4 linked regions of the Oreochromis niloticus genome follow. The protein of the gene in region 1 interacts with the protein of each later gene in a pairwise test. Links are inferred from orthologs where the notes say so. Each region holds a gene or a part of one and is shown on either strand. Other genes may lie near its edges. The genes, in order: khdrbs2, heterogeneous nuclear ribonucleoprotein R, ncoa5 and ewsr1b.

What was found.
Region 2: the proteins of khdrbs2 (region 1) and heterogeneous nuclear ribonucleoprotein R interact in binary tests that used the Homo sapiens proteins (3 or more experiments, as listed by UniProt). The link is inferred for Oreochromis niloticus from reciprocal best matches to the Homo sapiens genes KHDRBS2 and HNRNPR.
Region 3: the proteins of khdrbs2 (region 1) and ncoa5 interact in a two-hybrid assay, tested with the Homo sapiens proteins (2 studies listed by BioGRID). The two-hybrid records come from large-scale screens. The link is inferred for Oreochromis niloticus from reciprocal best matches to the Homo sapiens genes KHDRBS2 and NCOA5.
Region 4: the proteins of khdrbs2 (region 1) and ewsr1b interact in a two-hybrid assay, tested with the Homo sapiens proteins (2 studies listed by BioGRID and IntAct). The two-hybrid records come from large-scale screens. The link is inferred for Oreochromis niloticus from reciprocal best matches to the Homo sapiens genes KHDRBS2 and EWSR1.

Annotation. Positions count from the first base shown.
Region 1 is NC_031978.2:20,112,399-20,119,998, forward strand, and holds the start of khdrbs2 (KH domain-containing, RNA-binding, signal transduction-associated protein 2), read right to left. Parts: upstream 3,004-7,600; 5' UTR 2,626-3,003; coding exon 2,535-2,625; intron 1-2,534. UniProt on the Homo sapiens protein: RNA-binding protein that plays a role in the regulation of alternative splicing and influences mRNA splice site selection and exon inclusion. Binds both poly(A) and poly(U) homopolymers. Phosphorylation by PTK6 inhibits its RNA-binding ability.
Region 2 is NC_031985.2:16,818,762-16,826,664, forward strand, and holds the start of heterogeneous nuclear ribonucleoprotein R, read left to right. Parts: upstream 1-4,897; 5' UTR 4,898-4,996; exon of another isoform or gene 4,997-5,106; intron 5,107-5,762; 5' UTR 5,763-5,766; coding exon 5,767-5,923; intron 5,924-6,016; coding exon 6,017-6,135; intron 6,136-6,252; coding exon 6,253-6,360; intron 6,361-6,498; coding exon 6,499-6,612; intron 6,613-6,799; coding exon 6,800-6,976; intron 6,977-7,143; coding exon 7,144-7,279; intron 7,280-7,407; coding exon 7,408-7,613; intron 7,614-7,707; coding exon 7,708-7,857; intron 7,858-7,903. Other genes in the region: atp5if1a (ATPase inhibitor A, mitochondrial), read left to right, coding at 2,518-2,589, 4,038-4,150, 4,232-4,373. UniProt on the Homo sapiens protein: Component of ribonucleosomes, which are complexes of at least 20 other different heterogeneous nuclear ribonucleoproteins (hnRNP). hnRNP play an important role in processing of precursor mRNA in the nucleus.
Region 3 is NC_031970.2:8,753,732-8,761,418, forward strand, and holds the start of ncoa5 (nuclear receptor coactivator 5), read right to left. Parts: upstream 3,001-7,687; 5' UTR 2,848-3,000; intron 1,294-2,847; 5' UTR 1,235-1,293; intron 1-1,234. Other genes in the region: capza1a (F-actin-capping protein subunit alpha-1), read left to right, coding at 3,638-3,673, 5,235-5,298, 5,390-5,441, 5,791-5,854, 5,993-6,199, 6,287-6,366, 6,506-6,584, 6,671-6,742 and 1 more. UniProt on the Homo sapiens protein: Nuclear receptor coregulator that can have both coactivator and corepressor functions.
Region 4 is NC_031977.2:18,649,605-18,656,470, forward strand, and holds the start of ewsr1b (EWS RNA-binding protein 1b), read left to right. Parts: upstream 1-3,862; 5' UTR 3,863-3,963; coding exon 3,964-3,979; intron 3,980-4,452; coding exon 4,453-4,489; intron 4,490-4,795; coding exon 4,796-4,847; intron 4,848-5,050; coding exon 5,051-5,201; intron 5,202-5,347; coding exon 5,348-5,543; intron 5,544-5,640; coding exon 5,641-5,897; intron 5,898-6,015; coding exon 6,016-6,172; intron 6,173-6,866. UniProt on the Homo sapiens protein: Binds to ssRNA containing the consensus sequence 5'-AGGUAA-3'. Might normally function as a transcriptional repressor. EWS-fusion-proteins (EFPS) may play a role in the tumorigenic process.

The sequences.
Region 1 (7,600 bases):
CTGTCAGTCTGAGGAATCATTAGCCTCATGCAGCATGTCCAAGAAAAAAAAATCTGCATTTGAGATTGTGGAAGAAAGTTGTAGCAGTTTCAAAATACTCTGCATACAGTTTTGATTGTATAATATACCAATCTATTCATATATTCTGTCTAACAACCCTTGCTGCTTCATAAGAGGAAGCTTAGTTTCAGCTCGACAAGAGAATTATCCCCACCCACCCGTAGTTTACAGCTGCGGACTGGAGCTTTGTTCCAAAGAGTTTTAAATCAGCTCAAAGAAAGACAAACGGTTTTAGAAGCAACATAACTTAAACACAAACAGTAAATAATTCATTTCATAAATATGGAGATGCTAACTGTGACCACGGTTAATCCATGTTATGCTATTGATTGTGCATGATGTTAATAACACGGGATTACATCCTTTGATATTCAGTGATAAATAGCTGCGAATCTGTAAATCTGTAAACGCAGTTTATCTTGCTGTCCACCGATACGCAGGGTTTTTGCATTATCCATGAGCATAGACTGACAACACAAGATAACAAGTCTGTGCTGAACATTTTTTCACATGCTGCCCACGGCTGATTGTTTTGGACATTGCAAGACTGACTGAACTGACAGTTTATTATACTGATTGGCCACTTTTGTGTTTGATGAATACAGAGAGGTTTCTGTTTACTGACTTTGCCAACAGCATTCTTCTCAGACAAATGCATTCCAATGTATTACTTTTTCTACAGTATTGTACTGTAATATTGAAGACTGTACTGTATTGTTAATTATGGGGCATTGTAGTGTGTGTATTTGTTGTGAACTGTTAAAACTGCTCAGAGAAAAAAGTTAGTAAAGAAAATACATAGGTATCCTCATGTAACATGCTAATTGCAGTTCATAGTGGTAGATGGCATTCTTTGTTTGCATCCTGGCTGCGTCAGCTAGGCTTGAGTACATATGGCAAAGTGTACTGTGTGACAGATGATCCCATCTGCATCCCAGTTAGCGACAAGAATGGGAGTGTCAGGTGTCTCATCAACACATTTCAACAGGAAAGCTCAAGGGGCCGAACAGCAGAGTGCACACACACCCCATCCAGCAGCTAATTAACACAAAGTGTGACTTTACATTTTTAAACAAACATGTCAGAACCCAAAATTAGCATACATGCATGATCTAATAAATTAGTTAAATCAACTGCCTTCAGAATCACTAGTGATAACATGTTTAGCACACAGGAAAAACAGTAGAGAGCGTTTCACTGAGTGTTTTACAGTCATGTAACATATGATGGCATTTTATGTTTAATTTTGTCATTTTATGGCTGATATATTGTTTTGTAGAGGAATACGTTACTAACTGGTTTGCTTGCTTGTCATGTTTGGTTTGTCTTGTCTTTCCTGGTAAGGCCACGCAGGTTCATCCATTCACATTTATGATAATCATTCAGCCATTCACTCCAGTAGCACGTCACTCAAACGTTTATCCGAGCTTTTATAGCACTGCACATCAACCAGACTTGTGCAATTACAGGAAGAGAGACCACGCAGTCTATACGAGAAATGCAAAAGTTGCATCTCTGGGCTGAATGAGCTGAGCTGAGTTTTTGTGTTCGCTTTGAGGTGACACACTTCCTATCAGAAGTGACACATTCTCAGCATGTGAATGAGATGAAGGCTACAAAGTACTTTAAATGCTGCAGGCTGATTGCGGCACTCTGTTGACATACAGTAACATTATTCTGGAGGAAAGGCTTTACAGCATGTTTCACTGACATTTTCTGTTCTCCATTACCTTGATGGCATTTATCCTGTAAGAGGAGGTGTGCATCTATCAATTTTCGTTCAGTCAGAAATCTATGACTCATGATGCAATAATTACAAACACTTTGATTTTAGCCTCCAAGGTTTAGCTCACGTGGAATAATTAAAATATTAGAGAGGTGATATTTGGCTTGATAAATGACCACACAATTCACATATTTTACAGAAAAAATATTGGCTGGCAGCACACAGTATTATAACAGGATTAAGAGCACGTTTACCTTAATACAGTACTATGATTGTTGGACTGACGAATGTGGCACCTTTTTTATTATTTTTGCCCTGAAGTCAATGAGAAATCCTCAAGGAAGACATTCGCTTTATGCGAGCCAGCGCATTGATCTTGGCGGACAGTGGGGTTACAATAACCCCCTCTGACTGTACACATACTTTAGTGTCTCTGCTCACAGCATTTGTTCACTTGAAGTTTTGGGGAAAACCCAACAAAAGTTCCTCACTGGAGCCGAAGAGCAGTGTCTACATTAAACGCACAGCACAGAGAATTCAACTGTCGCCACGCAAGCACTAAAAGTCAAGAGTGATGTGTTAAAAACAAGCTCACATCAGCTCACTGTACTGCCCCAAAATTCAATGCAATTGTGCTTTCACGTTAGAATGAACATCGTGACTGTCGCCAAGTCCAACATTCAGAGTGCATTAGACTTGAAAAAAAAATAATATTTTCTATATATACACACATATATACTTGACTTACCTTCTGCAAGCAGGCGCACCGCATGCACAAAGGAGGGGTCCAGGCTGTTTTTCTCGGACACCAGCTCAGGTAGGTACTTATCTGGATGCATCTTTATCACAGCGGACCTCTTCACCGGCAGTGCAGGTGAGACGACAGGAGTGCTGAACGTCACAATGCAACTATAAACCTTGCCGCTCCTGCTTCTTGGTAGCTGTAGTCTACCGGTCTTAATGAGGAACACCAGCAAAACCCCCTCCAAAAATTGGTCTTCCAGTGTCTCCCGAGATGCTTGACTGGGGTAGGGGTGGGGGGGCTGATTTGTGATTCAAAGGTGTGAGCCCATCTCTGCTACCGTTGCCTGCTGCCTCTCCTCGGCACCCCGCCAGACTCAGTGGGTCTGCAGACCGCGCTGCTCCCCGCCCCTCAGCAACATTATTGGCCATATTCTGGGACTGGCGCTGCTGAAACACCAAGAAAGGTCCCCGCTGAGCGCAAAGGAAATGCTCAGTGTTCTTTAAGGGAATTGCTTTAAAAGGATGGGGTTGCATTTGGTCGCTGCTGACAACGGTCTATGAAATAATGTCACCCCGAAACTATAGATTCTCGGTTTTTTTTCAACTGGAAACTTTAATAATATTGGATATAGTACTCAAACAGAACAAATAAAGCATGCTAGTAAAGTTTTGTTGCACTGACAGACTGTACCATATAAATGTCGCTTAATTAAATGGGTTTTTTATGCAGCTCGTGAGTTTCAAAGTAACTACAAAGTCAGTACAAAGTAGCCCGCAGGCATTCACCTGTGAGGGACAACACAACTGTTCATGGTGCTAAACACTGGCTGCTGTCTGATTTGTTTGTACATATCTAATTTGTCTTAGATTTACGGGTAACCTAAATTAGCATACAGCATACTATTCTTCACACTCCACATGACATGATCCACTTCGTTAACTCTGTCCCACACGCTAAAACAGGGGTGTCAAACATAAGGCTTAGGGACCAGAATCAGTCTGGCAAAGACTCTAATCCTGCCCCGCTGGACAGCCTTGGAAACTGTCAACAAAGGCATAGATTTTTAACTTTTAACTGTATTTTCGTGAGTTTTACACTTTTGTCTTTTGATAAAGGTTTAACACATGGCTATTGATGCTATTTTTGTGTTTTGTACTGTCTACCACAAAAATTTCTCAGAGGGGGGGTTGACACACTGTGTATGCATTCCACAGTATCCATTGTGCACAAAAGCATTTCTTTATAATGTAGAAAAACCGAGATGTACTCTTAAAACTGAACATTCTTTTTCTTATATTAAAATGTCTCAAGGTTTAAATGTGCAATTAAACTTCTTTATACTGATATACATGGGAGTTTCATTAGTCTAGGTCACTTATGATCATAGTGGGCTGTATCTGGTCCATGATACAAAATGAGTTTGACATTGCTGCTGTCAAGGAAGTTTGGCTGTATTGTTACAGAGTGAATCATATATTTAAAGGTATGCATGCCAAATAAACCATTAATTAGTTTTTCCATGTTACTTAATGAACTTATGTCAGTTCCTTACATCCTTTGAGCTGCATCCCCTCTTATGGCTGAAGAAGGTCAGCTCTAGTAGAGCTTTAGCTGATTGCATAGTCAGTGGCAGACTTGGCATAAAGAAGCTTTAATATAAATAGATATTTAATAATAAAGTGAATTCTTCACTTACTCATCAAGAGCCAGTGTTAGTGGTGTCAGCACTGTAAGCATGAATGTTTATATCTCATCAAATGGCTCTCTTGTCCCCAAGCCATGATATTGACTTGAATCCAAAAGTCATCTTCGGCACAGCATGCAGGCTGCTTTACTAACTCACAAATTAGATTTGAGCAGATGAGGCTGGTGAACGACCAATTCTGGCTCCACTTGACCTTTAGAGTTGTTTCTCCCCGCACTGATCAGAATCATAAAGGCTCCTCGCGGCTGCAAACAGCAATGCTTTGTGAATATGAGTCAATTATGTTCATAGTATTTATGATTCTTCTCAGTTTTGGTAGAATTTAATATCTTCTGAGAAACCAGGACATTTGTCTTGGAAATCTAGTGCTGTTGTTTTGGGGTGCTCTGTGGTACATTAATGGCTGGAAATATCCATAAAACTGAGCCAAAGGTTTCTTTCATTTAAATTGTGTATTGGCATTGAAGATTACAGAGTATGACTTTTTTATGGCTTTTTAGGGTGATTTAAAAGACTGTTTTAGAGGCCAGAATACCCAAGTGGGTTTGTCTGACAGAACTATTTCATTAATCTGCTTATTTCTGTAATGCCAAACAAGCCTTAAAGGAGTTAGTATTGATTAAAACTTCACACTTACATCCCCTTTCCATTTATTTTTCATTAAGTTCCTTTCTCTATGAAATCAGACACAGCTTTATTTTTCTTCTTGAAAGCCTAAAACAAGCAGCTATGGCCATGTTGGCCAGTACTGTCTTTGCATTTCATGCTCGCTGGACCTTCACTGATTTAATTCTATTCAATAAAATGATTTATGACAGTGTTAATGCAAATCATGCTGCTGCTGCTGTGACTATTAATGGTAATGAGGGTTATGACGGTTAATGTGTTTGAGTCTTGTAAGTCTATAGTATGTTTGTAGATGTAGACTAATGCAGGCATATTGAAATAGACTCACACCACACACACACACACCAACAGATGAAAACAATAACAAAAAACCCATAGACACCTTATTACAAACCATAATTTTTAATAGATTTCTAAAGATTTCTACAGAAAAACTTTTTTCTTTCATCATCTCAACGAGATGAAAAATATTCCAAAATTAAGCCAACACAAGACTCAAACTGGCATTTATTAGTGGAGAGGCAAAAGCAAATCAGTTTCCAAAAACTCAAATCTTAACATTCCAAATTTTACTGCATAAAAAAAAGGAACCTGTTAGATTTCTTCTCACTTCAACTTTTTATTTTTAAGAACTCATCCATATGGATACTGGAAAGATTTAAAGTTAAGGATGCGATTGCGTTGACTGACAGGTCCACAGACACAAGGAGATGTTGTCCATATCCGCTAGGCTTAATTTGAGACACTGGTCCTCTTTACCATATTTGTAAATGGTAAAAAGACTGACAGGTATATAGCACACCAGCACTCGATGGAATTTTTAAATTTTTTTTTCTAATTCAGTTGAGTACGATTCTAGTATTTTTATTAGTCTGTTACTCACCACTAGTCCAAACGTGGTGTTCTATGACACCGATCAACTACATAAATGGTAGATATAGCTACCATGATGTCATCCATTGGTTTCTGAGGTTTCAAGACTTGAATCCACAGTATAAGATATTTCAGATAGCATGTGACAAAGGGGTGAAGGTCTGTGCAGACCTACCCAAAGAATACCACAAATAATGCTCCTTTTTCAAAAATAGTATACCAAGATTGAAAAAAATAAACATACCCTTTTAGTCCAGGTGACCCAAAAGCATTAATTTAGCCCACTAACTTATCAAAAAAGTATTCACTAAGGTAAGAAAGAAAGCGTTTTTTCCCCCCATAGACTTCTATTGTGGTTTTACAGACATGTGACCACTAACCATGTGATGTTAACATGTCTGCCATTTTTGGCTTTGTGACAATAGAATATACAGTAACGATGTAGGATCAAGTGAATAAGGCCCTGGTCACACAAGCAGAGAGTGATTAGTAACCATCTGGCAACCACCTGTTGCTAGGGAAAAAATGTGTATTCACCAACTGGTTAGCAAATAACTCCTTCCAATTGCTTTGGTTGCTAGCATATTGCTGTGGTCCTAGTTTGAATGAAAGAGATGGTTTTCTCCATGAACACTTCCCAGCTGCTCTCCAAGCTGCAGTGAAACAGTAAAAAGTGTGAAGCACATCAGAAATGTAGATCATTTGCTACAAAGTAAAAGTTGTACCTTTCTCTACCAACCAGTGGTGGTATCATGCCCAATATGGCAGACAACTATTGAGCAATGTGCACATGACTTTACATGAGAAACCTCAACATGACCCAAAGTCTTTTTTGCAAACAACAGCTATCGCCATCTGGTGACCTATAGTTAGAATGCAGGTTCAAGACACTTCTGCAGTGGGTTCATATTTCTGACCCATAAATCATGTCCATGTTTTATACTGTTTATTATTCCACGGTGGCAACATCCATCTTTTATTTATAGTCCATCAACAGAACTACTAGGGTCAGAACTTAAAATTTAGTTTTAAGTTTAGCTTTCTGTGTGTGAGAGTAAAATTTAAACTTCTTTTAATTTCTTTAAGAAAATACTTTTATCAAAGTATAACTGACAGCACAATTATAACAAACGTTTTCTTTTGATCATAACTTTTATGTATATTTCTTTATATGCATTTGATGGACTCTTGCAGCCCTCTAGTGGTCAAAGTGCAACATTATACGTTTTACTGACAGACTGATAACACTATCATTAAAAATGTAAATGTATGGCAACGCTTTAATGTAAGGCAAATAACACCAGAGCACCGCTGTGTAACCTCAAATTAGTTTAGAAGAAGTTGTTTATCTCCTTTTGTTTGCTTTAATCTGTTTTCACATTTTCAGGGAGCTATATTTTCCTTTTATAAAAGTTTGTATTTTAAAGTTTGTTGATGATTCTCTGTAAAAATTAGTAATATAAGAGTAACTTTATTCTAATTTTTCTGCTTTCTTTTCAGCAGTTGTTTCGTTTGCAGATCCTTTTTTGGGTACCCTACATGCACCCTACATAATATATTAAGAATTCAATAGCCTATGATATAACCTGCAGCTGGTGAAAACTAGCCCATGTGAACATGTCCACCTGTTATGTAGTCCAACTGCTTGACCATTTGTTAAACTCTGTCCTCTTTTTGCCCTGTTTTAGCTCCGCCTTTATCGAGCCAAGCACACGACTCCAAAAATTCAGACGTTGTTTTCACAATAAAACTACATTACAACACCCAAGTACTTCAGTGAAAAGGGGCATTATTACATTCAGACTGCACATAAATGCAGCATAGCCGTCCGTATATGGCGTTATTTTTGTGTCACTTTACGTCC
Region 2 (7,903 bases), on another chromosome or scaffold:
TCTGTGAAGAGAGAAATCAGTAAATCTGACACTACTTGGTTTTGTGCAGCAGTAAGTGCGTCTAAATATTTGCCAGGAAAAAAAGCTAACTCAGCAAGGAATTCATAAAATGCAACAAAAACAAACCAACATTACCCTCCAATTTTTTATTTTTTATTTTTTTTAAAAAGGTCCCAAACCTTTTGTCTTCAACATGTTCTTTCTATTAAAAGGTTTGACATCATTTGTTCTATTCAGTATGCAAATTTAGTCTATGGGGTTTTTGTTATGTTTCGTTTTCCAGAATAGCTGCTAGCATTTTGACTGTTATAAAAAAAACCTGACACTTATTAATAATTGTTCATTTTTACTATAATTGTGTCCTTCTGAATACAAATCAATTATGCATAGCTTTAGGCATTGTTGAATTTCATTTTAAATCTCTTTTTTACCCTCTAATCTCTTCCCAAATTGTTTTAATCTTTCTGCCAAGTTCAATGAAACAGTTTTCCTCTACCCTTTGTGCATGAACTGCATATCTCCAGTATATTTTTATTACAGCAATTAATCTTGGCTTGGGTTACATATGCTTTTCTGCTAAGATGTGTACCCACTGCCTCCTACTGTATCTGTTGGATAATAATCAGAACATTGAGTTCATTCTTCTCTGATCATTCTCTTGTAGGCAAATTCATGTGCAGACAGTCTTTGTCTTGCTGCATGACCCACTTTCTCTTAAAACTGTGGCCTGGAATATTTCCTTTAGAATTTGCTGGTATAATTTGGACGTCACTGGTTTGTCAGTAATAGCAAAACAGGTCCAAGTTATGTATATATACACCACCACGTTTCACAGTTGGAGTAAGGTTCTTATCTTGGAAAGCAGAATTCATCTTTCTGCCAAAAATGCTTTTCATTTCAACTAACTCTCCAGTGTCACCCAAAAAATAATTTTTTCAAGAGTTTTCTGGCTTGGCCATGTATGTTCAGTCGTATTCTTTTTGGAAAAAGGCAACTTTCTCCTTTCAAATGTGAGGATGAAACCTGACAAGATGCTCACTAACACCCACTGTGAGCCCATAAGATTCACCTAAAAAGTGACAGTTAGTTCCCTATCAAATCCCTAGCAGATCACGTTCCTCAATAAATAAAGTCTAATTTATCAGGTTTTTTTCTCTCATCTTTTAATTAGGTTCTGCTTATCTCAGCTTATCTGCTTGTTTTTGCAGTTATGTTGTGCTGAGGCATCCAGCACACATCCTCTCTTCTTTGCCAGAAAAAGACTTGAACTGAATTAAAAGACTTTGTTCTGTTTTCAAAATAATCTTTGGCTGATATAGATAAATATCAAGGAAATGAGAAAGGAGACCATCACAAAATTTAATATATAAATATACAGAAAATACTAGCTTTGGATTTTTGTGCATGATGCCATGATAATTAATCCCATTAATATCTGCGAAACAACCCAGTTGACTTGGATTGTTGAGTGTTATGTGCTTTGTTTATGAGAAGCTGTAAATAAGGCGTTCAGCGGTCCCTCTTTAAGTGGGACTGCACAGCGTTGGCACTCCTTCCTCTGCTGTCCCACATCTTCAGATCACATCCCACATTTTCACTTGCTGCACAGGACACTATTCTAAAGCCTGGCTCTTACTCAGTGTGTCTAAAAGGAAAAACTTTTTATTTTCATTCAGACGTTACAAGTTACCAAAAAGTCTCAGCACTGGTAACGTGCACCACTGTGTTTGTCCCACATTAAGTTGTTGGGATTTGGTCATCTCAGCTGTAAATAGAATATCAGTCCCCTACCTGCAAGATGGTGTTTTCTACAGCCCTCCAAATCTACTGTCAGATAGCAAACATCCAGATATTTTAGGAAATTTAAGCATCCATCATTCTGGGTTAACTTCAGCTACACTCCATAAGTCCATATCCAGAGAGCAATAGATAAATATAGATAAAAGATATATATCCTTAAAAATATGAAGGATCGGGCTCAAGGTCATCTAGATTTCTACATATTGGAATTTTAAATGTCACTTTTTATTCTTTTTATATTCATTTATTTTTAGAAAATTAATGACAGTAAGGATTTGAAATTTAGAACTTTTCTATTTTCTGCAATTCCTATCACCTGGGATTATGTCCAGACAAATCTGAAATGTTGTGGTGTGAGGCATTTGAGAAACTGGACTGATCCACTTGAAATTACATTTAATGTGTATGCACGCGATTTGTTTCTTAGATCTTATGCACATGACTTCTTGACTGTAGAGCTAAAAAAAAATCACCTGAAAGTGCTGAAACAAGCTGAAATACGAAATTTAAGATGGAGCCATATGGACGTAACTGCTGCACTTCTGCCCCCTCGCCGGGTGGTGGCAGCAGCAAGCGCGCATGTGCCACAAACGGTATTCTCCACGCCCATACAAGGCGTTTACTTCAAATTTCCGCATTTTGAGCTAAAAGGACAAGTAGTCGCACTAAACTTTTCTCTGCTGTGGTGCAGTTGTTTTCGCTGTTATTTGAGTGGCAATGGCCAGACTTCTTCTGGGGGCAAACCTGAGGAGATGCGTCGCCTCTCAGATCAGAATGGCATCTGATCAGGTAAACTTTGGTGGGTTTGGTGACAGTTTTGGACGTTAGCAGCTAGCTCGCTAATGTCTGCCATATCGGTAAAAGGCTGGCGAGGAAGCCAGGTGGTAAAAAAAATGCGACTTAATTGGTGGAAAAAGCAAACAGTGATGTTTGCAAATAGAGGCGGCAGAAGATCCCCCATGGCTGCAATGAAAAACACGCAAAATGATGTATGTGCAGTTTTATTTACCCCTAAACACTTTACTGACTCACTTTTTTGCGACATGTCAGTTGGTTTATGGCTATATAGACTAAGTTTGTGACATTAATTGTAATGTTGTTCTTATGAACAGGATAAATATTGTTATCCCCGTTTTAGTTGTGTAAATACCTGAAATAACCTGCATTTATGTGCAAAACTGCGGAAATGCGGCAAGCTCTTTATCTTGGAAGGAAAAATTAATTAAATTAAGCTTTATTCATTGTTTCAAACATACATTGTTGCTGAAAGGAGTCCGTGAAAGAAGTGAAAAATCTAACCTTACTGTGTCATTTCAGTTGAAGGTTGGCACACCTTATTCAGACTCCAGTGAAAATGGTCAAAGGTCAAAAAGATCACTGTAGTCTATTCCACATTCTAAACACTCAGTATGAGCTGCTGCACACTTTCTTCTTCTACTACTACATCCAGCTGCCTCCTTAAGAGGTTGTCACAGCAGATCGATTGTCTCCATCTCACCCCATCCCTAAAGATCCTCCTCTCTGCATCTTCTTCTTTACTATTCATGACCCTCCTCTGACATCTTCCTCTTTTCCCCCTGCCTGCCAGCTCCGTCTTAAACAGCCTTTATCCAGTATATCCACTATCCCTCCTTTTACACATGTACAAACCATCTCAGCTTTGCTTCCCAAACTTTTATCTCCAAACTGCTCGACCTGAGCTGTCTCATGTCTGATGTACTCATTTCTAAACTTGTCCGATCTGGTCATCCCAGTAAAGATCTTTACATCTTCAGCTGAGCCTCCTGTCATTTTGTCAGTGCCACCATCTCCAAACCATACATCATAACAGGTCTTGTCTTCTAAATCTACCCTTTCACTCTTGCTGCTATCCTTCTGTCACAAAACATTACAAACCGAACCAGTTTAAGAACTCTAGTTCTTCTATCATCTGGAATTCTTAACACCAATCTAAATAGGCTGAGGCTACACAGGTTGTGCTTTTTGTTTTTTAAAATATGTCTGTATCTACTTGTGTTGTAGACCCATTTGCACATATGGGTCTAGAACACAAATTGGGAGTCCCCATCAGGATGACAATGGGATTAAAATGGATCTGTGTGACCAAGATTTTAACTTGTGATGGATGAGCGTATACTTGTGGGTCAGATGAAAATAAATGCACTTGTCTTGATTTACAAAAATGCTGGTCCTAACATGTGCTTGCACTTTGTGATGTGTTTTGTTTTTTCTTCTAGCTTGGTGAGTTGGGCAAGGGAGCTGGGAAAGGTGGTGGTGGAGGAGGCTCTGTGAGAGAGGCCGGAGGTGCATTTGGAAAGAGAGAAGTAGCGGAAGAGGAGCGATACTTCAGGTAAATACTCCCTTGGATTTTTGTTTTTTCCCCACAACACTTTCACCCATTAACTTTTATTTTTATTTTTTCCACTTGTAGGCAGAAGGAGAAGGAGCAGATGGAAGCTCTGCGGAAGCATCATACGGAGGAGATTGAGCACCACAAAAAGGAGATTGAGCGTCTACAGAAAGAGATCGATCGCCACAAGGGCAAAATCAGAAAGCTCAAACATGACGACTGAACCTTGTTATTTCTCCTTAGGAGTCCAGACTTATCAAAAGGTTAATGGTCATTAGGCATTGATTTTTTTCCTGCTTATGTAAAGCAGGGGTCATGCTAACACTATAACTTCAAGAACAATGAAATAAAATGATTAATTTTCACATGTATCCAGAATTCATTGCCTCTACTTTATTGCCAAACCTTTTTTTACTTTGAGCTTTGAATTGTTTATTAGAATAAGGAGGCTGATCCTCTTTGTAGAAATGTGGCTCCTATTGGGTTAAAGCGGTGCCAGTTGTAGTTCATTCTCCGTGGTTGGATAGCTGATGAAGCGCTCGTTTTTCATCCCAGCGCTACTCGGTCAGTTTGGGTGTAAAGCCCTTTTGAGCTTGGCCCGGTTATCGCCTGGTTTTGTTGGCGTTAAGCTCAGCTCACTTCATACCTTATAAGCAGTAAGCATACGTCTTAAACTTTGTATAAGCGTCAGGTTGTCCGATACGAGCACGCCCGGCCTGGCCTGTCAAAACGAACATACCCGCCCTCACTCGGCGAGTTTTCGTCCACATCTCGCGATGGTTGCGAAGCAGTGGCGTTGTTCGGGCGAGCCGACGACGAGACCGTATCTGTCTGGAAATTTGTCTCGTGGGTTAGACTCAAACATATTCCGCGCATTTAGACACTATTTGTATGTCCGATAGGCTAGTCGTTTCACGTTTTAGCACCCGTCGGAGTTAGTTTCCTGAATCGCTCTGGTGAGTTTCGCTAACTGTGTGTTTGCCCGTGTACGGGGCGCGCGTGTACTTGATTTGCGAAAGGTGTCTTTCTGCACGGCGAGGCCTTCGTATGTAAGCTCGTTAGCCAGCTAGAAAGCTAACCATCATCATTGTTTTGTTTTTTTCGCAAGGGCAAGATAACGTATTCGGGGATCCCGCGTGACCAAAAATGCTGTAAAATCTATCCAGCGTTGTCTGCTTGTAGAAGAGGGTGTTGTGGGGTCAAAAACATATGGACGTAAATGCATAAAAAGAAAAGCATTCATCTCGCTGGCTTGCAAGCTGCATGTGAAGGGGGGCGGGACTGAGGCTGTACGTGTTTTCTTGAAGTGACCAGGTTGTTGTTGTGCAGTACATTATAACGTGTCGACGCCGATTATAGTTCGTAAATTACATTCATAAGAACTACAGTTCCAGTGAGTCCTATTTTTAAAAAATTAAATGGAAACCATAAAGCTTGTAAATCAACTTGATTTACTGCACTTGAGTTGATGACATACATAAAGATTGAAGTGTAGTTTAGGATTGTGGATCTTTCTATTTATTGGTCTGATTTTAAGTAAAATAACCTGTTAAGAAGAACCATTAAAACATTAAAATTAAGTAAAATGTATTTCTTTGCTTTGCTGCTGAAGGAGAATGGCTGCTGCTGAGGTAAACGGTAGTTCTGCCCCGGCAAAGGAGGAGGAAGAGCCCATGGATGTGACCACAACACACACAGAGAACTACCAGACCCTCCTTGATGCTGGGCTGCCCCAGAAAGTAGCTGAAAGTCTAGATAATATCTTCCAGACAGGTGAGCGGCTGTATGTTTATTTCCACTAAAAGAATAATGTATACCTGCTTTTCTGTAGCTAAGCCTCATGCTGAACATCCATTGTACCCGTAGGCCTAGTGGCATACGTTGACCTGGACGAAAGGGCTATCGATGCACTGCGGGAGTTCAACGAGGAGGGAGCGCTTACTGTGCTGCAGCAGTTCAAAGAGAGCGACCTGTCCCATGTACAGGTATCCACATAGGCGAAAATGAATAGAACCCATGTCTCTTTGCCCTTGACAGGAGTTTTAACTTGACACAAATTGTTGCAAATTAATTATCTCGTTTGTTTTTGTTTTTTATTGCAGAATAAAAGTGCTTTCCTTTGTGGAGTTATGAAGACCTACAGACAGAGAGAAAAACAAGGAAGTAAGGTACAAGAGTCCACCAAGGGCCCAGATGAGGCAAAAATAAAGGTAAACAAAGTCATTTGGCTAAGTTTTTTTGTGTAGCGGGTCAGATTGAATGTCATATAAACACGCCTCTGCAGCCACAGCTCAGTTAATGTTTGTTTTGTGTGTGTGTGTGTGTGTGTGTGTGTGTGTGTGTTTCAGGCCCTGTTGGAGCGCACAGGATACACCCTGGATGTCACTACAGGCCAGAGAAAATATGGGGGTCCTCCACCTGAGGATGTGTTCAAAGGCACTCATCCAGGCAGTGGAACTGAGGTAGAGAAGCAATTAAAAGATAAAATATAGGATAAAATTGTCTGTCATGATTTCCAAGGCTGGGTTTTGTTATTTGAGTAAGACTAAGAAAATATGAGCTACAGTGTCATTCATAAAGACTAAAAGCGTAATGTTTTGCAAATCATTACGCTCGCTCACATTTCTTTCCCCTCTGTTCACTCCTCAGGTTTTTGTTGGAAAAATCCCCAGGGATTTGTATGAAGATGAGCTGGTGCCACTCTTTGAGTCTGCTGGTCCCATCTGGGACCTCAGGTTAATGATGGACCCTTTATCTGGTCAGAACAGAGGTTATGCCTTCATCACATACTGCAATAAGGATGATGCACAGAAGGCTGTGAAGCTTGTAAGTAATGTCGCGGGAAATATCAGTCCATATTTTTAACAGCTTGAGGGGAAATAGACTTAAAGGTTTACTTATTGGAAAGTGAAATAACTTGTGCTTCACAGTGTTTTCAGCTCCTTTCACTCATTTGTTAACTTGTCTGTTTTTTGTTTTTTTGTTTTTTACAGTGTGATAACCATGAAATCCGCCCTGGAAAGTACTTGGGAGTTTGTATATCTGTTGCAAACAATCGGCTGTTTGTCGGATCGATTCCAAAGAACAAAACAAGAGAAAGTATATTGGAAGACTTTGGCAAAGTGACAGGTTTGTTTCTAACATGCAGGTTTTTGTTTCTTAGAGACTCATTTAAACAAATTATCAGTGCTTAAAAATGATTGATAAACGCACACAACAACGGTTGTGATAGTCAGATGTTATTGTTTGCCTCACAGAGGGTCTCCAAGAGGTGATATTGTATCATCAGCCGGATGACAAGAAAAAGAACCGTGGTTTCTGTTTCCTCGAGTATGAGGACCACAAGTCCGCGGCACAAGCTCGCCGTCGCCTGATGAGCGGCAAGGTCAAAGTGTGGGGGAACCCGGTCACTGTTGAGTGGGCTGACCCTGTAGCTGAACCAGACCCAGAGGTCATGGCTAAGGTTAGCGATTTTAGTGTCTCATTGTTTAATACACATCAGGCACGCTCTGCATTCCAGTGTGACAAACATACTGTTTCCTCTGTTATTATTATAGGTAAAGGTGCTCTTTGTGAGGAAGCTGGCAACAGCAGTGACTGAAGAGCTTCTTGAAAAGACCTTTTCCCAGTTTGGAAAGCTGGAACGAGTGAAGAAATTGAAAGACTACGCTTTTGTCCATTTTGAAGAGAGGGATGCTGCCGTAAAGGTGAGTTTCTCATGCTTTGGCCAAACCTTTTTGATTGTGTGATGAT
Region 3 (7,687 bases), on another chromosome or scaffold:
GTGAGATATATTCTAGTTATAGTTGACGACTGAAATATTTTAGAAGGTTCGTGGTGCAAATTTAAAGTCACACCATCCGAGAAAAATAAGCCCCATTGGGTCTCACAACAGTCCTTTGTGAAATAAATGCAGTCCTCTTCTCTTGAAATAACGCCGTCTTGAAGAAAATCAGATTAGCTGAAATGAAATCACGTTCCTGGGGTCACTCTGAAAATGCCAAAATCTAAAACAGCGCAATTTCCTTAAAAGTCCTTAGGAGAAATGTGCGTATTATGTGCCTTAGATTAGGGCTGCACGATTTTGCATAAAATGAGAATCACGATTTTTTTTGCTTAGAATTGAGATCACGATTCTCTCACGATTTTCTTTTCCAATATAAATATTTATTGCACTTATTAACTGCACATCAACTTCGTAACAGTTGAGACTGAACATAAAAATAATAAATAAACATAAAAACAATAAATGTCTCACATTTTGTCGTTGCCGCAAAATGTTGTACTGCTTGTAATTCCGTCTCCACCGTTGCTCGACACTGCGTGTATAGAGCAGGTAGTGCAACATTTGAAAAAATAGTTGCAGGACGGCACTGTGTAGCGTTTGTCTAGGGTGTTGATCATTTTCCTAAATCCCTCGTTTTGCACAGTGTTGATGGGAGCCATATCTTTAGCCAGGTGATAAGTGATAGCCTCCGTAATTTCTTTGTGCCTGCGGGAGTTCGACGGCTATGGGGAAACGCTGTATACGGTTCCCATTATTGATGTTTGGGTGGTTGACCGGGACGGATTTTCTCCTGTCACTTTCTTGGCCTTTACAGCTTCGTCATCTCTCACGTGCTCTCCATTGTTTTTACCCTGCCAACTGGCTTCTGTTTCACGTGGTATAAGGCTCCGCCCTTGTCATTTATTGAGCAGGAAGAGTGAGCGCTTGTTTTCATGCAGATTATGTCCCGGATCAAAATGCGGTACAATCGTCATCTTTTTCCTTTTTTTTAAAAATCATTGTCATTTGGAAATGAGATCGCACATAAGTATGAATTGAGATCGCGATTTTCTAACGATTAATTGTGCAGCCCTACCTTAGATAACGCAATATAAAATTATTTCAGGACAACAGAACCGCAAGAGGTTTTTCGGTCTCAAGATACATACAGCAGAAAGACCAGAGAGAGTTTCATTGCATTTATACTTGAAGGAATTTACATAAACCTTTCAGGAAGCAGCTCCTTACATACCTTAACTTGAACCTGGATAGCCTGGATTCAGCATCCACTGAATTTAGAAACTAGTGTGTCTGGGGAAAAAAAGAAGAAGATACAAACACTACAATAAGCTTATGAAATTAATCAAATGAAATGCTCTAAAATATAGTCTCAAACAGCCTTTCGGAAAGTTATTGAATAAATTGATTCACAATAACAAGTCTCCACACCAGCCACTTTATTAGTTACACCTTGGTTACACCACAGAACTAGGTTAAATCCCTTTTTGCCTCAATTTCCCATGGAAGAAATTCAAGTTGCTGGAAACATTTCTCCTAGATTTTGGTTCACATTGACATGATAACATCACAGTGTTGCTGTACATTTGTCGGCTGCAGATCCACAATGCAAACCTCATCATTCACCACATTCCAAAGGTGCCCTATTGGACTGAGATCTGGTAATTGTGGAGGCCAAGAGCACAGTGTCAACAGCAACATTGTCATGTTCAAGAAACTAGTTTGAGATGTTCTCAGGTAGGTCCGGGTGGCTAAACAATGTTCAAATGATACCAAAGAACATGTGCCAAGAAAATATCCTGCCAAAAATATCACACCAGCAACACCAGCCTGAACCACTGATAAAGGTTAGGCCAGATTCATACTTTCATGTTAGTTACAGCAAATTCAGAACACCAGACTAATCAAACCAGGCAATGTTTTACTCTATTTCTTGACCAATATTAGTGACCCTGTGTAAACTGTAATCTCAGTTTCCCGTTCTTAGCTGATGGGCATGGCACTTGGTGTAGTCTTCTGTTGCTGTAGCCCATCTGCACCAAGGTTTGAGATTTCGTGCGATCAAAGATGCCCTTTTGTTTACGTTGGTTGTAACAAATAGTTACTTGACTTAATATTGCCTTCGGTTCAAACCGGTTTGGCCACTGTCCTATGATTACCAACAAGTCATTTTAAGTATTAAAAATAAGCTGCTTCTAGGAACAAAGACATATTTTTTTAAGAAACCTCAAAAAAGTCAATTAGCTGTAAGTATTTCACGTGCCTTGATTTAACTGGAGAAAATAAATGAACAAAATTTGAAGCATGTTTGTAAATGAGACATTATAATCTCAATTGGATCGTCTGTATAAATGAAGGTTAAACAAAATAACTGAATAACCAGCAAAGCAAAGTAGCACTGCGAAACTTCAAATGCCAGTCAAGTGTATCACCTCTCACCAAACGCCTTTTTTAGCAACACAAATCCGACCGCGGCTCGTAATGTTGCTTTCGATTCGGACTCTTCGTCAAAGCTTTCCGGCCGCCTCATAAATAACGATTTACACGCTACAGCACCAGCTATGTAATCCAAAAATAGACTCGTTACACTGCTCATAAAACTAAGTCGGTTAACATTAAAAGCAATACTCTCATACACCGCCATTCCGAGAGACGTTTTAATAGCGTGGTTACGGAGTAGCTACATAGAGCTAGCTTAATGTCGGCGGTTAGCTTCTTAACGCTACCTTAACGAGGGACGTTAAAACCAAACAGATAGGTTCACAGTTACGCCTGCAAATGCTTTACGATCCACGGTTCGCTGCAAGCAATGCTATAGCAAGAACGACAGGGCGACTATGTGCTTACCTTCAAAGTCTATTTCGTGTTAATTTTCAGCCACCCACGGACAACCACTATCCGCTCACAATGCTGCGCTTCTTCTTCACTTTAGTTACAGCAACTGGCCCTGATATCTTCTTCTACCCCTTGTGTGGATGTAACTACCATTTCATTTAGCCTATATATCGCCACCTATTGGCTAAACATAAAATACGTGCAGTATGCCCTTCGAATCAATAAAACGAATTTTAGACCTTTAGAGCCTGAACCATTAAAAATAATTACCAGAAAAATATACGGTTTTTTTAAACGGAGTATTTTTTAACCCTCTAACAAATTATATAAAGGAAATTAAATAATAATTTGCATATATGCGTTGTAATTTGTATTGTATTTTCTAAACCAGTCTCTCTTCTTTTGCAATGTTTTGCTTAATTAATAAAAATAATCAGTTCACGCTATTTTGACTCAGTATAGCTTAGCTGCTTCAAATGACTGGAAGGTAGCAAGGTTGCCAGGTTGAGATGTTGTCCCCTCGGTTTGTACGTAAAAATAAACAAAGCATTACAATCCCTGAATTTCGGCATTTTATAATATGTAATGTACTTCATGTTAATTTCCAAAATGTATGAGGATATGCTAATATTATAATTATTGTCTAAATCTACACATTCGTGCTCACGGCAGCGTGAACGTTGTTGTTTTACCGGCTCGGGCAGACGGTTTCCGGGACTGGGCGGTCGTTGTGTTGGGAGGAGTCAGTCCCACATACCTGGCAACATCCACCGTCGCTTTGTTAACGCTTCATTGAGCCAAGATGGCAGATTTCGAAGAGCTCAGCGATGAAGAGAAGGTATTGCTATATTAATAATCCTCACAATAACAACGGTTTAGCTCTAACCTTTGTCGTGAACAATTGCAGACCTCGGAGGGATCTTTAAAGTCGCGTATGAATTTACCAGTAGGGCTATGGTAGGTGTTTGTTGGGTGCTAGCTAAACCTAGGCAGGGCTGTATTTGACAGCTCGGAGCTGAAGCTGTTATGTTCTTATACATAGAGTAACTTAACTAAATTACTCGTTTTAAATAGCAGCCATATTCAGCGTACGGCTAACGTCGATTTCTGATTTTGCTCTTAACTTTGCAGTGGTTGGCAACTGTTAAATCGAAGGAAGTCCAGCTACTTCCTGCATTTACACCAAGGATAATGACAGAGCATCGATAGCAAAACACCACCCACACCCTGTTCACTTTCACGTTTAGCTTCCTCAACCGGTTTTGATAACGTCGGACGTTAAAGCTTGACCCACACAAATGAGTTTGTGGGTATTTTATGCACTGAAGACCCGATACTTATTTTTGGTTTAGAAACGCATAAGGAGGGTAGGTCTTCTGTCTCCCTGCAGTGTTACTGAGCCTTGCAGTGACTGGTGTTGCTGTCTGTATCATGCTGCAACATGTTGTAAAATAGCGCATTGCATTCCTGAAGCTGATATCTGGCCAGGAGCTTAACTATTTAAGTAGTTTCAGTGAATCTTTCGAAATAAGATTAATAGGTTGGTGTGATATCTACACTAAAATAATACATTTTAACTTTTCTGAAGAGTCTGCGTAAATAGTGTGTTCATTTGCGTTTGAAATACACGATGGAGAAGCTGAGTCTGAGCCTGAGAGTGTGCTGTATGCTCTGAATGCCACAATGCCTGCACCACTCTTAAACTGGGTTATTCATTGTAATGTCCTTCTGCCCTTTCAGCAGGACAGCCCAATTGTAGGTCAGCGCCAGCTGCAGCCTGAAGGCTTTAATAATCCTGTCTGCCTGACAGATAGCATCACTGGCAAAATCATACTACAATGTGATAGTGACGTCATGGGTTTAGCAAAGGGATACAGTGAAGGTGGCAAATTCGTGATTTTAAAAAAGGGAACTTGTAACCTCTATAGAGAACAACTTAACTTCAGATTTTACAATGAGCTGCCTGGTATAAATGTACAACTTGCGGTCCTCATTGAGTATTACTTTATGAGAGCATAGTACCTGCCTCAGTCACTTCTTTCTAGGGCTTTGACACCACATGCTTGCACATGCATACTGGGTGGCTGCTAAGAAAAGCCCTTGGATGACATGTACTGCCATCTAAGGAGCGGCTGAAATAGAGCTAACCAGCCTCTGGCCAAGAAAGTTACAGTACAGTACAGTACAGTACCCAGTACTCTCTGCTTCACTCTAGTGGTTATTTGCAGGTTTTAATCTGTTCATATAAATTGCCTACTATATCTGTATCTTTATAAAAATGGATACTGTAGCAAGACTAAATAACACCAAAGTTTCTTAGAGATGAAGTGCAGATTCCCATTGATGATGTGGCACTCTTTCTTATTTTTTTCATGACAACATGTCTTATTTATTTCCAGGTCCGTATCGCAGCTAATTTTGTGATGCATGCTCCTCCAGGAGAGTTCAATGAAGTTTTCAACGGTAAACCCCGGTTACACCTTGTGTACTAACTGCAACCCATGTGCAAAGAAAAATGTGTTTATGGTTGTCTTCCACTACTTGTTGTTCTCAGATGTGCGACTCCTGCTCAACAATGATAATCTCCTCAGAGAGGGTGCAGCTCAGTAAGTTTCCTTCTTTAGCTTCTTTCTTTTCCTTTTCTTTTTTTTTTAAAGGGAACCAATTATTACTCTACTCTCCTCCATTATTTGGAACATGGTCAGTGTTACAAATAATGAGATGACATGCTTATGCAGTCCAAAGCTGAATCTCAGGCTTCAGACTGTAGTAACTGCTGAATTTCAGACATTTTTTGCTACTCGTGGTTCTCCATGATGTCATTAAGATCTGCTATTCTTTACATGGTCAAAAAGGGCCAAGTATCAGATCATGTAGCACTACTCTAGAATCTAAGAATAACAACAATGTTATAGATATGAATGCAGCTTATGGTTATATTGTCTTTTGTTATAGTGCCTTTGCCCAGTACAACATGGATCAGTTCACCCGTGCCAAAATTGATGGATATGAAGAGCCGGCAAGTTTTGGCCTTTTTCTTTTTTTTTAAGCATTCAAATAATTTGCTATTATTATTGAATCTACAATTTAATTTATCTTAGGATACTTGAATGAACTCCCATGGTAACAGCAGGTTTGTCTGTCTGGTCTCCTGCAGGTTCTGATAACAGAGCATGGAGACCTGGGTAATGGCCGTTTCTTTGACCCCCACAACAAGATCTCCTTCAAGTTTGACCACCTGAGGAAGGAGGCCAGCGATCCTCAGCCCCATCAGGGCGAGGCAGCCCTCAGCTCATGGAGAGATGCTTGTGACTCTGCTATTAGGGCATACGTCAAGGAGCACTACCCCAGTGGAGTCTCCACCGTAAGATCACTCCCTCTCTCATTGCACTATGGCTGTCATGTTGAGTTTAAGCATAATAAATCACCCACTCCTGGTTATTTGTTTCAGGTTTATGGGAAAACAATTGATGGCCAGAAGACCATTATCGCTTGTATCGAGGGCCATCAATATGAGCCTAAAAACTTCTGGTAAGTTGAGAAAGGATAATGATCTCTTTCTAAATGTCTTTATCAGATTTTCCCAAAGAATTATGTTGATGTAGTGTATCCGTAATTATGCATTTGGGATCGTCTTTCAAGCATAGCCTTCTGCGTTTTCCTTCACCAGGAACGGTCGCTGCCGGTCTGAGTGGAAGTTCAGTGTCTCACAGCCTACAGCACAGGTTGCCGGAGTCTTGAAAATACAGGTATGTTAAGTTTTTATTTGGTGGAATTTAAGAATAGTCTTGATATTAGTTTTGTTTCAATGTTGTATTTCCTCTCCTTACCACAGGTACATTATTATGAGGATGGAAATGTGCAGCTGGTCAGCCATAAAGATGTACAGAAATCACTGACTGTGTCTGTAAGTGTTGTTCTATGTCTGTGGGCTAAAGTTTAAGAACACGTTGATTTTGTTTGGATCTGTTTAACTCATGTATGTTTATTTTTGGCAGAACGAGAGCCAGACTGCAAAGGAGTTAGTAAAAATTATTGAAGATGCAGAAAATGAGTACCAGGTATGTGGGAATTGCCTCAGTTTGAGAGAAAAAAAATTAATAAAGCCACAGAAGAGCTGTGGCAAGTTGTATAAAATGTACTTCCTACTGGCTAAGATCCTCAACAAGCTGTGCATAGAACAATAGGTGATCTTTAAAAGGGGAAGACTGATCGAAACACACATTTTTTTTATTTATTTTTTTATTTCCTAGTTGGTAAGTGAAGCTGCTAATGGCATTATTTTTGTAAGCACTCTTGGCTGCCAAATGACCACCGCAAGATTTTTAGGTATATACACCATAGTGTTATAAAACAAGTGACTAAAGGTGTTGTTTTAAATAGTCGGAAATCAGAATCATTAATTAAATAATTACATCTATTTTCAGGTGTTGAGTGAACATTGTAAAATAAAATAAAAATAAAACGCATGTTTATTATTAACTGGAACTGACAGCTATTTCAAAGGACTGTATATGCATAACATCACTGTTTAGGCAACTGTTTTCCATCTTTTAAAAAAAGCTTCAAAAGGCACCAGCAGCGCAAACAAACTGTAATTAGTGGAGGTGACGTCTAGCAGACAGCAACGGGCTATAGCTGTCTCTGTCAGCACACCTGTTAGTCAAAGCATTCAAGCTCTGTAACTTTAAACGTTAACAGTGTTTAATTTATTGACTGAGATATAGAAAGAAGTTCACCCACAACACAGTTGGTATGACATGCGAGAGTCTCTGTAGAGACCAGAACCTTTTCTAACTATAAACGTGCTTTTCAATTACATATGTATATCACAACAACGGTCACCTCAAGG
Region 4 (6,866 bases), on another chromosome or scaffold:
CCAAACTTCAGTAACCCTACAAACGTCACTGCTGTTTAGTTTTCTGTCTTCATTTATGTTGGAAGTGATAACAGAGCTGTACGTTTTAATTTGTTTCCAAAACCCCGCAGTCAGGACATGCTATGTTGTATTTAGATAGAAGCTAGCGAGCTAACTTCCTGCTAACTTCTAGCTCCGTTAAATGTCATAAATTCCGTTTTCATGGATGCCTGGATGTTAAACTCAGTTGTTACACCTGGTAGAGAAGAACGCTGATCATTTTATTAAAGATGAAAGACTTTAGACCAGGGGTGTCCAAACTTTTATCCCTGAGGGCCACATACATAAAAATATAGGAGGGGCTGGGCCACTTACTAGAAATTAGGTATATAACCTTAACTGTAGTGTATTAATGTTAGAAAAATCATTTAAAAGTGGTCAAATGTGTTATATTGTTGAATATAATTAAAGACAAAACTGCCTTCATCACAGCTTTCCATAAATGGATCTTTATTGATTTATTCAGAAAAAGCTTTGGTAGCTCATTCTCAGAACAGCAGCAGATTTCTTCTTGGACAGAAGATTTACAGTACAGAGGAAAAACAATAAAGGGGAAAATGGGACGGGTACATTTCAAGCTTATTATTTAAGTTCTTAGGCTTAGCAACACACCTATTAACGTTCGTTTGAAACGGTTATCAACATTAACAGATTGAACTGGACTTAATAACAGGAGTGCATATAATTTTAGTAAATTATTCTGGTGAGTATCAGCTGCGCTGGGTATGTAAATCGGGCCATCCAGCCGCGGTGCTCATCGTACGCCACTCGTGCCAGAAATCCGGACAAATGTCACTTGATCAAGGAGCAGATCTGCATCAGATGAGATCAGCTGACTTTGCGTGTGCGTGCGCTGTGCACAGCGGTGTGTACTCTGTGTGTTAACAAGAAAAACGCATATAAGAAAGTGGTGCGCAAAAGCAGGGTAGTGACAGAATTGATACGCATTATTGATATTTGAAGCATGTGTACCTGCACATGCATGCATATTAACACGCGGGTACTGTGGAATGTAGTTTTTACTCACCTAAAGTGCTCGTGCTCTCGTCCACTCCCCGCAAAAAAATAAATAAATTAGCAGCTGTGCGGTGTCTGTGGCATCGGTGCTCTCATCGCATGCGATGGAGTAAAAATCAAAAGCACAGCTTTATCAGACAGTTGCAGTTTAATGTTGGCTGACAGTCTTCAGTGCGTGGCACAACTGTATTTCTGGACATGCTGACGTTGTTGAAGTCCTGCACTTTTTCCGGGCACATTATTTCGGTGACTTTAACGAGGCAGCGTTTTATGAGGTCTCCATCTGAAAAAGGCTTGCCATGTCTTGCGATGAGTTGGGCGACCTCATAACTGGCTATTGGAGCCTTTTCCTGGACAATTTGAGCACGAAAAAAATACTGTTGCTGACCCCGCAGGATAGCTACCCTTTGCTTTAATTTCTGCTCTCGCTCAGCACCAGTGTAGGATGCATAGGCCTGATGTTTGGTTTCATAATGACGTCGTACATTATACTCTTTCATAACTGCCACAGTTTCAGTGCAGATCAAACAGACACACTTCCCCTTTAATTCTTTGAAAAAATATTCACTCTCCCACCGTGTCTGAAATTTTCTGCACTCACTTTGTAGCAGCCCTTGGCATCAAGAATGACAAAAGAGTCTCTAACGGGTGCAGCCATTTATTTCCTCACCACACACGCCTCATTCTCTGGACATTGAGCACCGTGAAAACTATAAAACAAGAAAAAATTGATACCCGTACAGTCCTTTTGAAGTATAACAATGAGCAATAACAACAATGAGCTCAAGTTAATTCAGGTAAGTTCAAACAAGTAATTCTGAGATATACAGTCACAGATTAAATAAAACAAAAAGGGGTTACTTCAAACAGCATCAAGGGGTTACACAGTTCGGTTAAATAAAATATAACAACAGATCACCTCTCATCACATACCTCAGTCCGCTTGCCAAGGGTGCAAACTCCGGTGAACACTTAAACACTTCGGCCCGTTTCTCATGGGATGCTGCTAGCTTGCATGACACACATGTCTAAGATGGACTTTGTACAACTTATTCCTGCCGCACGACAGACCGCTCATACACGTTACGGGGCATGCCTCTGAGCACATCTGTCCTTAGTGCGACTGCGCATACAGTTCCGACAACCCCCGCAAGGATGACTTATGGTACAGATCAGCGGTTCATTACACACTTTCTACTAGTGATGGCCCGCTTGAAGCTGACGCTCCGGAGCGTGTGTCGAAAAAAACAACACACTGGTTCAGAAGCACTGTGTCGAGGCTTGCTTCGTTTAGCAAAAGTCACGTGACCAGTGACGTCCGAAGCTTTATTACGCACGCAACTGCTTCGGTATCTGATTCAAATGGAACGAAGTGAATCATTTGCGGGATTTGTGGAGTGTGTTGATGGTGACAGATAGCGAACCACTGATCATTCTACTGAGAGATTTGGTTCTGTTGTGTGGAAGTATTTTGAGTTGATTCTGGTCAATCGGGTGGGTTTTCCAGCTTTGTGTTCTGGCTGTTTGCTTTTGTTTTGTGCGTCTTTATTTTATCTGAAAACGGGAAAAACTTAAAATGTAAAAAATCTGCTTTTCATAATATAAATATCAGTAAATAACTTCCATTTGACTCGTAACATTTAATGTTATAAAAAGATATATTTTATTTAAAAAAATAATCTTACAATGTTAGTCTACAAAATGTGCAGCAATTTAATTTATTTATTCTCTTTAGCCGATAGTTTGTGGAGCCATAACTGCATCTCTACCAGTTTTTCTGCACTCTAGCCTCTTCTCTTCTGTGCCATGTGAAGGGATTTTCCTTAAGGCAGGAGAAATTATCTCCACGAAAAGGAACAGATTCGTCCATCGCACAGTGGAACTAATTTTCTTCTTAAATAAAAATGAAAAAGGGTTTCCTTAAATGCATCATGTTATTAATTTGCAAGTTCATAAGCATTTTCCCTTTCCATTTCACAATCAATTCTACCCCCAGGTCAAAAATATGTATAGGAAAATTTCCCTAATATAATATTATTTATAAATATACCCGTCTAGAGATTAAATGCATAAGTACATGGAGGCAGGACCTCACAGCAGAAGCATACTGCATAATGTGCATTATTATATGTATGTTATATGTAACGTGGTATTTTTCAATTATTGTATTTACCAACATCAAGAAGTCACAAGCAAAGAAAGACCAAACCATGGTGCATGTTCACACAAGGAAAGTTTACTTGTCAAAATTATTTATTAAACAAATAAACTACATTTTTTAACACCAAAAAATACACGTTCAAAGCAACACAACAGCAGCCCAATATGAGACAGAGTTCCACTCTGTATAGTGGGCTATCATTATGAAGCAGTTGGTTTTATTTTGTGGATTCAAGCTGCTCTTCATATTTTTGGCCACCAGATGTCACCAGAGAGGACTGTGTTGAAAAGCTTCGAGTAATGAACCGTTTTTCAATACAAGCTTCAGTGCTTCAGAAAGCTTCATTTGGCCATCACTGCTTTCTACCTTTTGCTTCTGCCATGTTTGGTAACTTGGGGTAAATTTCTTCTGTGATTGTCCTTTTTGGTAGACCAACTGCCTTGATCAACAGTAGCTCCCCCTGGTGTTAAAACTAAGAAGTGCAATACACTCAAGCAAAAGTTGAAGTGCGGGCCATTTTCTATTCTATTTATAAAATTACTTGAGGGCCAATTAAAAATGGACCGCGGGCCAACTCGGACTTTGGACACCCCTGATCTAATCTGATTTGTAAACCTGTAATGCTTTCGCTACAACAGCCCCCAAACAGTATCGCGTTATGTCGCGAGATTTCGCGGTTGCCGCGAAGAGAGTTGCACTTCTGCGGTAGCATTCTTCGTCCATTCGTCTCTTATAGGCACACTAAAATGGCGTCTGCTTCGGGTGAGTAAAAAAAAATGCGACAATTACTGACTTTTAAAGTAAATTTTGTTATTTATTGAAACATTAATTTGCATGAATGTATCCTAATTGTGAGTATGTTTGCATAGTTCGTCTTTTTTAGCCACTTTTCTTTATTGAATAACATGAACCCAGTTCCCTCCGCGTCCGAGGCCTAGACAAGTTAGCACGTCGAGTCTTTGTGGTATTTACTCCGGATATGTTTTTTCATTTGCGCACACTGGGTTTTTCCGCATATTACCGATTTAAAATGAATCCTGTTTAACGGGTGCGTCGATGTCTGACTGGTTTCGTTAGCTGTGAAGTAGTGTTTAGGTTTAGTGAATGGCTCAGTTGTCTCGGTTTTGAATGGCGACATAAGAACGGGCCTGTAACGTGCGGCTCGCGCGCTGAGATCTGAGACTCTATTGTTTTTTGTTTTATTTTTTTAAACTAACCTTTTTCCCCATTTTCAGATTACAGCTCCTACAACCAGACCGGGGCTCAACAGGGGTAAGATTTTTCAGTTAACTTTATTAAAATGGCTTAGAGATTTTTAACCATCCAATATGACCTAATTCTTTCGAAGAAAGGAAACAAAGCGGAGATTAGGGTGGATGCAAATGTAAACCTGTATAATTTTTTTTAAAAATCGATATCCAAACATGGATTACTTTTGGTGTTTTTGTGACCTTCTTTAGGTCGTAGTAAACATCTTTTAGATAAAGACCATTTTTAAACAGTGCACAGCATGATATGTTTTTTCAGGCAGTACCCAGATTTCTGGTGATCCTAAAATTTTGATGCATATGTTTACAGGTATGCTTCCTATGCTGCCCAGCCCTCACAGAATTATGGACAATCTGCTCAGGTACCATTATTGATTTAATTGTGCAGATTTGATCAAAGCATGCCTTGTGCTTAAAACATTTAATGATTGTGGGGAAAACCTGGGATGGTTATTTGTTTACTGCTGGCAGTCATAGGTTGTTTGTGCTTTAAGCAAATGGAGCTTTTAAATAATGCTTAGTTGAGGTTTATTTTGCCTAATGGCTACTGTATTTGCTCTTTCAGCAAAGCTATGGCCAGCAGAATTATGGCTCATATACCCAACCTGCTGCAGCAGCTGCTGATAGCAGTTACAGTCAGACAACACCTGCAGCTGGAGGCTACCCCCAGCAGCAGCAACAGTATGGATCTGGATCATATGGCCAACCAGCATCAGGTCAGCTTTTGTTTTTTTTTAATTATTCTGTTGTTAAACAGTCAAATTACAATGTGGCAAAGCTTGTATTGATTCCTGAAAAATTAACAGGAATGAATATCAAATTTCTTTTTTTCCCTTTGTGATATGTGATGTCTTTTGTACAGCTGGCTACCCTGCTGCCCAGTCTGCTACTCACAGCTATTCACAGTCAACCCAGGGTTACGGAGCCAGTGGTTATGACAGTACTCCTGCTGCTGCTGCTCCAGCTGCCTCCCAGTCTTATGGCTCTCAGCCAGGATACACGGCTCAGTCTGCCTACCCTGGTTATGGCCAACAGGCTGCTCCCACTGCCCCTCAGAGGTATGGACATCTCATCTGACAACAACAAAACATGGGAATTCCAGAAGAACATGCTTATCGGATTACTTGCATTCTGTCTTTGCTTTGTCTCCATCAGTTACAATGCTAACAGCCAGCCAGCTACTTACAGCCAGAATAGCTACTCCCAGCCAGCAGCATATGGTCAACAACCTGGTTACCAAGGCCAGCAGGCAGGCTACAACCAGCAGCAGGGATACCAACAGCAGACCCAGCCACAGCAACAAGCTCCTCCTGCTTACCCTCCTCAGGCCGGTGGATCATACGGGCAGCCTCCAGCCAACCAGTACAACCAGCAAGGTGGACCACCCAGTTACAACCAGTCCAGCCATTACAGTAAGCTTTGCTTTCCTCCTGCCTAAACAGCTGTTCTCTCAACTAAACACATGTGTTCAATTCCACTGTGATCATTCTGTGACGACTGCATGTTTTGATGTTGTTGTTCCTCTTGTAGACAGTTACAGGCAGGATGGGCAGGGTGGAGGTTCTGGTTATCCAGGCTCTGAGCCTACGCGGTACCCTGGAGTAGGGGAGAGCAGGGGCCCTGGAAGGGACTTTGACCGAGGTGGAATGATGCATCGTGGGCGTGGAGGCATGGGGCGCGGCATGGGGTAAGTGTCTTTCTTAAGCACTTAATCTCACATTTATTCAGTCTCTGCAGGTGCCGTTGCCATTTGAGGCAGAGCTGAGACAAACCCTGCTGTAACATCAGAATAATACAGTAAAACATAACGGCAGTCTTGTAAGGGGAATTTATTAGTATTTGATACTGATTCATCAGCAATCAGCGCTAATGAATTGCATGTATCTAGTATAATACATGCAGTGGCATATGTTGTATAAGAATGAGTTTTGTCTCAACCCTGCCTCTCTCTTGGCCAAAGGTAAGAAGAAGGAAAAAAAAAAGTGCAGATTTTGATCACAGACCTGTGCATAAAATTTAGGTTGGACAGCTTATATCCTAGACCATGATTTGATTACTGGGCAGTATCAACAGTATAGGATAGAAAAACGTAGTTTCAGATTTCAACGTTTGTCAGGGAACATGGTACAATCTGTAAGAATATCTACATAAATACATACAGAATTCTAACCCTACTTTCTTTAGTTTCCCACCAGTTCAGTTTCTCAGCATGCTGAATTATTCTCTATAGGGTGACTAACTGGAATAATACAGTTAGATGCTGGAGTCTAGTCCTGTAAGGTCATATCACGACAGGTATTTTAAGAAATGTATAAATGGACGCTGGGCTCATGTAGCACATTAAGTTCCATTTCACATGCCCGTTTGTGTTTTACTAGAGT